Bombyx mori: one gene and its partner. The protein of the gene in region 1 interacts with the protein of each later gene in a pairwise test. Links are inferred from orthologs where the notes say so. Each region holds a gene or a part of one and is shown in the gene's direction. Other genes may lie near its edges.

What was found.
Region 2: the proteins of max-binding protein MNT (region 1) and max-like protein X interact in a two-hybrid assay, tested with the Homo sapiens proteins (2 studies listed by BioGRID and IntAct). The link is inferred for Bombyx mori from reciprocal best matches to the Homo sapiens genes MNT and MLX.

Annotation. Positions count from the first base shown.
Region 1 is NC_085122.1:12,276,014-12,280,546, forward strand, and holds the start of max-binding protein MNT, read left to right. Parts: upstream 1-1,548; 5' UTR 1,549-1,596; coding exon of another isoform or gene 1,597-1,666; 5' UTR 1,667-4,533. UniProt on the Homo sapiens protein: Binds DNA as a heterodimer with MAX and represses transcription. Binds to the canonical E box sequence 5'-CACGTG-3' and, with higher affinity, to 5'-CACGCG-3'.
Region 2 is NC_085115.1:6,335,696-6,340,076, reverse strand, and holds the start of max-like protein X, read left to right. Parts: upstream 1-1,255; 5' UTR 1,256-2,004; coding exon 2,005-2,080; intron 2,081-2,213; coding exon 2,214-2,290; intron 2,291-2,683; coding exon 2,684-2,794; intron 2,795-3,880; coding exon 3,881-4,078; intron 4,079-4,381. UniProt on the Homo sapiens protein: Transcription regulator. Forms a sequence-specific DNA-binding protein complex with MAD1, MAD4, MNT, WBSCR14 and MLXIP which recognizes the core sequence 5'-CACGTG-3'. The TCFL4-MAD1, TCFL4-MAD4, TCFL4-WBSCR14 complexes are transcriptional repressors.

The DNA of each region.
Region 1 (4,533 bases):
GTTTCCGATCCGGTGGTAGATTCTGCGAAGTACTGCTCTTGCTAAGGTCAGTGTTAGCATCACTCCGGTTTGAGTCCCGTGAGCTCACCTACACGTTAGGGCGATATAGCCTCTCAAGGCTATCAGCATAGGTAGTAAAAAAAAAAACAATTGTATTAGTGCGAAATGATAGTATGGGATACCTTATGCACTTTGTATGGTGGTGAGCCCGCCTATTTCTGCCGTGAAGCAGTAATGCGTTTCGGTTTGAAGGGTGGGACAGCCGTTGTAACTATAAAACAGAGATTTAGACCTCATGTCTCAAGGTGGGTTGCGGCGTTTAAGTTCTTGTTTATGAGCTCCGGCACGGTGTAATTTGGTTGGTTACCACAACACCAGGACGGCCGTGAATTCGTCGTAAATAATAAAAAAGTGAGTGCATTTAGTAATTATTATCAACACTTAGTGTAAATACATTTGTATCTACATTATATTATGGTTATTTTGTATTACGGGCATATAAAGCGTATAAAATATAGGTACTACATCTGGACATTGCGGATCGATATAGCCAATTATCAAATAAAATACTTAGGTACATTTAAATATCTACATACATACATACCTACCTATTATGTTCAACAACTATAATTATGAAGTTACATTGAGCGATAGCTACTTTATATAGGTGACACTATCTATCATCAGTTACAGGAAAATGAAAGGTTTTAAATACATAGGTAGTTAAATTAGGTATTTGTACAATTTCCTTGAAGTTGATACCATCGCCATCCATCGCATTTTAATGCATTTTTATCATTCAATTGTTCATAGGTACAATATATTTTAGTCAAGCAGCTTTTAACTAAAATAATTTGTAGTTGTAATTAAACATTCTTTGAAGATGGCACATGGAAACACAAAAAGTACTTGAAGATAAGTAAGTATGTATGTGAGCACCTTATTTGTTTAGTTTACTCATTCTATTACATTACATCATATCACATCCCTTTGTTCTTGATGATTGATATTTTATCTTTTATAACTTTACTTACTGTCTACAACCATTGACACAATGCGTTTAGAAATACGCATAATGAAAAGCCGATAACACATTTTCACTTCACCTTACTCATGCAACTTGTTTGATGTTGTGGAGCGGCTATCGAGGAAGTGAAAGTCGGTCGAAGTCTCGCACGTATACAGACTCGTCGCAATATGATAAACGCGGGGTTTCGTTGACTTGCTGCGAATCTCTTTAGGTTTTCGTCCAAAATAACGCATCGTGCTAGCATTAATAACGACTGGCGACACGTACATACATAGCACAGGAAAAATAACAGATAAACAAGTGTGGAACGTGCCGCGTCACCGGCTTACGGGCGGGGGCATGCATGCGATAGTTCACGATGGTTGCAACGACATCGATCGCGCACGCCCCGCGCCTTGTCAACGCTACGATGATGTTTATTGGTCGGCCGGCGTCGTCACGTGACCGGCGCGCTCGACACCCATTGGCCGGCGGCGGCAGCGGCCACGTGAGCGGCACCGGGCCCGCGTGCCAGTCGCGGCGTGACAGCGGGCGCGCCGGGACCGCGCGCGCCTGCCGCGGTCGACATGAGCCTCCTCGACACGCTACTCGAGGCGGCGCGGTACATCGAGCTCCAGGAGCGGCGCCTGCAGGCCGGTGAGTAGCCCGCGCCGGCTGCGTGTGGCGCCGCGCCCCACGCTCTTGACCTTGAGTGGCACGCGGTCGGCGTCCCCCGCGCGCTCCCGGCTCGCCTCACCCCGCGTAAACAAAGAAAGCCTGAAATTCACTCGCAGAACGCCACGCGTCGCACGTTCACCTCTATTCGTACACGCAGAATTGGCCGTGGTTCATAAGGGCTCGTTGTGTCGAACTTCGTATCAATTGGCGGTCTAATTAATATTATGAGTCCGAGCGGCGAAAGAGAGCTCATCGCTCGGCACTTGCTGGTGGTGCGAGTGGGCGGCGGTGTGTACGTGGAGTCGTGACGCACCGGCGCGGCGAGCAGGGGGCGCTGGAGAGTTCGGTCAGCTGATCGCAGGGAGGGGACGCCGGCAGCGGGGGGCGCGGGACGTGTGCACGCGCAACGCCCGGTGGCTCGCTCTGCATTTTGATGTTCATAATAACTTGTCATCCTCAGGACGATACGAATTTTAGAATCTGTATGTAAACTGACTAGAGGAAAAACTGGCACAAGGCGGGGTTGCGTAACGGTGCGTGCTGCCTCGCGCCGGCCATTGTTCGTGATGGACTCGTTGCCTCGGTGTGCATTATCGAAACTCGCGATAAACGGTACCATTTACAACACGCCATTGTGACCGCCCGTGACGCCACATCATTATCAAAGCAGCACCTCACACAAATGTATGACCGATAACACGATCAGGGCACTTTTTCCTATTTTGTTTATATGTTCAACTCGATTCCACCATGACGCTAAAATCAATGAAATAGAAATCGCCTTCGAATAAGCAGCGAGAGTGTAGCAAAGAAAAAAAGGGTCGCACGATGAAACAAAATTGATTGCCCTTTTGAATGTTTAATAATTTAAGTAGTAAGTACATTTTAACAGAAACAAGATCCGCTGAACTCAGATGATTTCAATCTTAATTACCGCTCTAAGAAGATTCTTGTTAAAGAAATAACAGGGAATAAATTGACAGCTATATTTTAAAAATTAAGAATATGAAATTTTGCTAGTCTAAAACGACTTTAAATCTTCAGCTTGGAAATTATTTTGTGGTTAAAACCAAATAATACATTGCACATTCATTCTTGTACAACGCACACAAATAACTTTTTCAATCGTTACCTACACGATTTTCTCTTCGTCGGAAATATACTTGACAATTCATTAAGATTACAACCAACCAATTGAAGCAAGCTAATAAAAGATTATTTAAACGAAATCATTAAAAACCTATTCAAGAGTCGGTATCGCGTTAAACTAAAACGAAAAACCTGAAGAACATTAAATCAACACAAAACAAAACTAAAAACTACTAATACCAGCTATTCGCTGTGATTTCCTAAACACGAGCCGAGCGCGCCTGTGAAACGAAAACCGCGTTATCGTGTTTGTTCGACACTTATCAACTATCGCCGGTTTTACTGAGCTTTTGATAGCGCTGACCGCCGTAACGTAAGAGAGAAGATATGTATAAAATACAAGTATGTTTTCACTTGATCGTAGCCCACTGAGTTTCTCGCCGGATCTTCTCAGTTGCGATTCCGATCCGGTGGTAGATTCTGTGAAGCACTGCTCTTGCTAGGGCCGGTGTTAGCAACACTCCGGTTTGAGCCACGAGAGCTCACCTACACGCAAGGGTAAAGCTGAAATAGCCACTCAAGGCTATCAGCAAAGGTAGGAAAAAATATTTCATCGTTTGGGGGGTTTAGTTGATTAGTTCAATAGCTACATTTATACCGACAGCTTGACAAAATGCAGGAATTAATAGCATCAGTTCCGAGGATCTTATGATATCAGTCAGTCCGGCTAATATGGCCTGGTCGTCCATTGTCGACCAATTTTGTAACCCAATGCTGCAGCAAAATGATTATATTATGCACTCGCGGAAACTAACTGATTTAATAACAAGTAAGGAATATTTAAAATGAAAATCTGGACTACTATGTCTAGTCTAAATGTTTGGTATTGTCTAGCTTTTACCTCGAAGTTTTTCTTTTAATCTGCTAACTTTAAGGTATTTGGTATAAGTTTTTTATACGCATTTCATTAAACACATTAATTATAGAAATATGTATTACATAAAGGAGCAAAATCTTAATAGAGTTATAGAAATAAAGTAAACGCAGAACTTTAAACTGAGTATAATTTACTTATCAGAAAGGTGAGTATATATTTGAAAACTCTAACATAAAATTATAATAAAAAAACTATCAAATCGTTATCCGAGAAGATAACTTATTTCATCAGACGTTGTATTCACGAATCCTATTTTTAGCGAAAATCTTCTTCAAACTAAAACTAGAAAGTTTGCCCAGACTTGAATTTGCATATAGTATAGTTGAACAGGTCGGTATCGATGGCGATACGACTTCCACCTGTTGATATTAACTTTATTGAAATGAGTTAACAAGTTGTTGCTTTGAATCGAGCCTCGCAATCAATCAACATGGACTCGGGTTATGACAAAATTAGAAAATCTTAGATAGAGAATTTAGTATTTAGGTCTCACGATTTTTTTTATTGCCCTTCTAGGCAAACGAGCATACGACCGACCTGATGGTGAGTGGTTACCGTTGGCCTTGGACTTCAGCAATGCCAGGGGCAGACTCAAGCCGCTGCCTACCGTTAAAATATGACACGAGCCTTTCAACTGAATGACGTAAATTTTAAGTTAATTAGAACTTAGGTTTTATCAAGCATTGAAAAGAGGTTCATTGTAATTAATCCTCAAACCGAAACAATGTGCTTACATAGTAGTATTGTTGTTTTATGCACAGAATCGTAATGCGCAGTTAGCAGACGCTACGCGCCTAATTGCCGTCGGATAGGCAGGCGG
Region 2 (4,381 bases), on another chromosome or scaffold:
TCACATTAAAAATCTACATTTATAAACATAACATAAATAATAATAATAATAATTAATAAATAATATTAGGAGAACATTAGTCAGTCGATGGTTGAATGCAAATATAAATAAATTATTTTCTATTTAAGTATTACGTTTTTCTTGGGTTTTTTTTTCAAATCGTTGTTACTTTTGTTTTTGTTTTACGTTTTACTTTAATTATTTAATTCTAGGCGTTGCGACGCCACAATCGTTTGTAGTTATTTAAATACGGAGACGTTTAAATGGTGTTTAGTTGTAAGGTTAGATTTTATATGGTTTAAGTTCACTGTTTGTCTTCCAAATAAAATAAAATAATATATAAATAAATATACAATTATATAATATATATAAATAAATAAATTTCCACCCTTTATATTTATATTATTATTATTATACTTCATTTTAGCTCAACTTGCTTAATTCCAATTCATTACATATTCGCATTAATCAATTTTAGAAGATTAGCAAATTTTCTAATATTTAACAGCCGAAAAGTGAATTCATATATAAATAAATGTAGATTCCTTTAAAATGCAACAATTTGCAACATTTTAAAAATACAACACCACGGCTTTCATACATAATATGGTGAATATTACTAATTTTTTTCTTTATACTATACTTATTTTACTCTTGTACGTTATTTGATAAACATTCGGCTCATCTGATGCTATGTTGTTATCGCAGCGGAACTCATTCTTTGATATTATTATGTGAATAAACAGCTTTGACATATGAAGGACAAATCCTGGGCCTCCTATCCTGTTTGAAACAAGAATTAGTGCCCATCATTCAACACGCACGCTAAGCACGCCAGTAACTTCGATTGGAGTTAGATTCTACTAATTCAATAAAAAAGATGTAAGACGAAATTTAACTCGTAAGAACTCTGTATGTTGTGACTGTCGTCAGTATGTGTTTATTTAATAAACTGATATCACATGTTAATTTTTGAGAAACACTGCCTAGAACTTTTGGCTTTTTAAGCCCTTTCTAGGACACCCTTTATAATATATAATAATAAATAAATAAATATAACTAGCACTACTACAACATTAATTTATGCATAATTTTGAAGATTTTATAAGCTTGATTAAATTAAAATTACTCATATGTGTATTTTCTGTTGCTTGCAGAACTGGCATCATGAGCAGTCGATTGCCATATTGAAAAAAGAAAATGTTGACGTTGACAGTCATCTGTGCTGTGACATAAATATTTTAAACGTTGACTTTTTGGCGGGAATGCGAGGAGTGAAGTTGTGTGATTTGATTCATTTTGTCTATTTAGTGTTTCTTAAGATTTAAATGTGTAATAACGGTGGTTTATTAACTGTTCAATATCTATGAAAGTGCACAAATGTGGGAAAACGAAACAAAGCCGCCGGACGCAACTTCTCGAGATCCTCCAAAATGTCCACTGAAAAAATCTCAGTAAATGACCACCATTTTACTGAGATTATATTTCAACCCATATCATCTTATTTTATTTCATTTCATCCCAGTTGATTAACGTCTCAAATTAATCATCTTAATTTCATTTCACTCCATATTATCATTTTTCATAAAAATAAGAATATAAAGTAAAGTAAGACATGACCTAAAGGTCTTAGTTACCAGGTCATAAAATCCCTTAAAAAAATAATTTTAAACGTAATTCTCGTACCTACCTATGTAGGTACTTATGTACGTAATTGTACCAAAAGTCGGAAATAATACTGTATTTTAGTTATCAGTAATTTGAAATTTGATTTTAGTATTACGTTACGTAAATGTTACGTAACCACATGGTTCAAAAGTGATTTAATTCGGGTCATGAAGTACTTGTCCAAGACTATCTTATATTTATAATGTTATCAATGTATTCTTCATACCCTACATAGAAATAATGGAACAAGGCACCATGAACTCCGAAAAGTGAAAGATCGCATTAATGTAATGTTTTATTTTATTAAAGTTTCATTATAACAATTAATATCCCAATATGTATCCTCGTTGTGGCAGTAGCGGATCTATTCAAAACATACATCAAACGCCGTCCTCCTCAAATCAAAACACAGGTAATGACTTTTTCTAAAACTTGTTTTACATATTTTTGTTTAAGCGACATATTTGTATTTTCGTTTCGCACTCATTGATAACAAATGGATGAAATATATTTGTACCTACTGTGAATGTTATTATTTTGTATAGAGGATGAAGATGACAGTGGTGACAACAAGGCATCTGCACTCAGTTTCAAAGAGAGAAGAAGGGAAGCTCACACACAGGTTAGTAATATCACCTAATCACTGCTATTAAGAGATGATTTAACAAAAATTAAATGGACTACTGAATTTATAATACAGATTATTAATCTTTTACTAAATGGAAATGATAGTTTTTGTAGCAATGCACACTTGTTGAATGTGAAAGTAAACACTATCACTAAACAAAAAAAAAGAATTGGCTTAATATACTCAGTAGACTTTCCTATATATTTTCTTTGGGCTATTTTCATATTCTCTCTATGTTAATACATAATTGTTATTAACTATTAGGTATCAGGAGTACTTCTTCCTGTGGGTGCATTTTGGGCACTCAAAGAACAAGAACTGATAGTTTTATTTTAATTTAAAATACTGGTTTTATAATAGTCTTTATCTAACTTTTACATTTTTCAGGCAGAGCAGAAAAGAAGAGATGCAATTAAGAAAGGCTATGATTCACTCCAAGACCTTGTGCCTACTTGTCAGCAGAGTGATGCGTCTGGCTACAAACCAAGCAAAGCTGCAGTATGTTAAGTTTCTTATCAAATTAATTGTTAAATGTGTAAATAAGAGGTTATCAATTTTATGAAATTTGAACAACCTTGTAGACTTTATCATTCAGATATGTTAGGGCTGTGTTATCACAAATAATGATATTTATTATAGTTGAGGACTGCTGCGCAAATATTTATTATTATATAATGTGATCATAGCTATCCCAGATTATCTTAAAAAATAATTAGAAACTTCTATCTCACAATGGGTGGCAGCATTCTAACTTCATTAATAATTGTGTCTTAACCTTAAACGTAGCTTAAAGGTTATAATTGAAGTAAATTTTTAGAAAGGATAATATTGGTATACAAGCTTTTTAACCTGTTATTCAAACTCTGGCTGTGTGGTATTTGCCTATTTGTTGTATATTTTCTCCGAGTATCTATTAAACCAGCGTAGTACGAACACCTACTCTCATTAACTGCCGTTCCTGCCGTTTTTCCATAACAGAGCAGTCTAGTTTGAAAGGTAGAAAAGCTGTTATACTAAGCAATTGAGACTTAAACCTTATGACTCAAGCTCCAGATTCTTCATAACACCATATGGTCCATAATATCAATTAATCAATAAACCTTAAAAGTGCTTGTTCACTTTAATTTGTTCTGTTTTTAGTTATTTTATTTATTTTGGGCTGGATTATCAATTGAGACTGATTTTTACCTAAATGCTTGTACAAAAACTGCTGTAATCACTTAAATTAATAAACAGACAAAGTAAATAAAATAGATAGCTTGTTAAATGTAAACATATTACAGTTAAACAGTTTTTGAACTATTAACTAACTATAAAAAAAAAAAAAAGCCTGCATGCACCATTGATGTATTACTCAGTGAAATTGGGCAACACCATTGTAACTGTGTGTGTAAAAAATCATCCTTCCTCAATCAGATAAACCAAATTATAAAATATCAGCATTGTTCAAGTAACATACAAACCATATTTTTTTAATATTTGCTTCTTTTGATTATTACATGTAACTATTACTATCCTGTCTATAATTTTAAACTCTGGAAAAAAAAAAGCTTACACTTCTTAATAAGTTAACCTAACTTGCAGGTCCTTCAGAAATCAATTGACTACATCCAGTATTTGTTACAACAGCGTCGTAGACAGGAAGAAGAGCGCAATGCATTGCGTAAAGATGTTGTCGCTCTTCGTATAATGCAAGCAAATTATGAACAAATTGTTAAAGCTCAACATTCCGTACCTGGTCTGAATGAGCAAAGGCTGACGGACCAAGACAAATTTCAAGTGGTATGTATGTATATAACTTTTTTAAGAAAACCCGTGAGACTATAAGTCATTTAATTTTATTGAGATGATGAGATCTCTGAATCTACCTGTCCAATAGACTTTATATTTGTTATAGATATTCTTTGTGTGAAGCAGATTACTACTAAAAACGTATCTTACGCTAATTCTCTTCAAAATGGATTTTTCCATTATATATAATTATAATATAAGTTACAAAACAAAAATAGTTATGGATGCATTTATTTACACACAAAGACCCTATTTAAAGTTTAGGTACCTATTACAATATTTTTAAGTTTATTA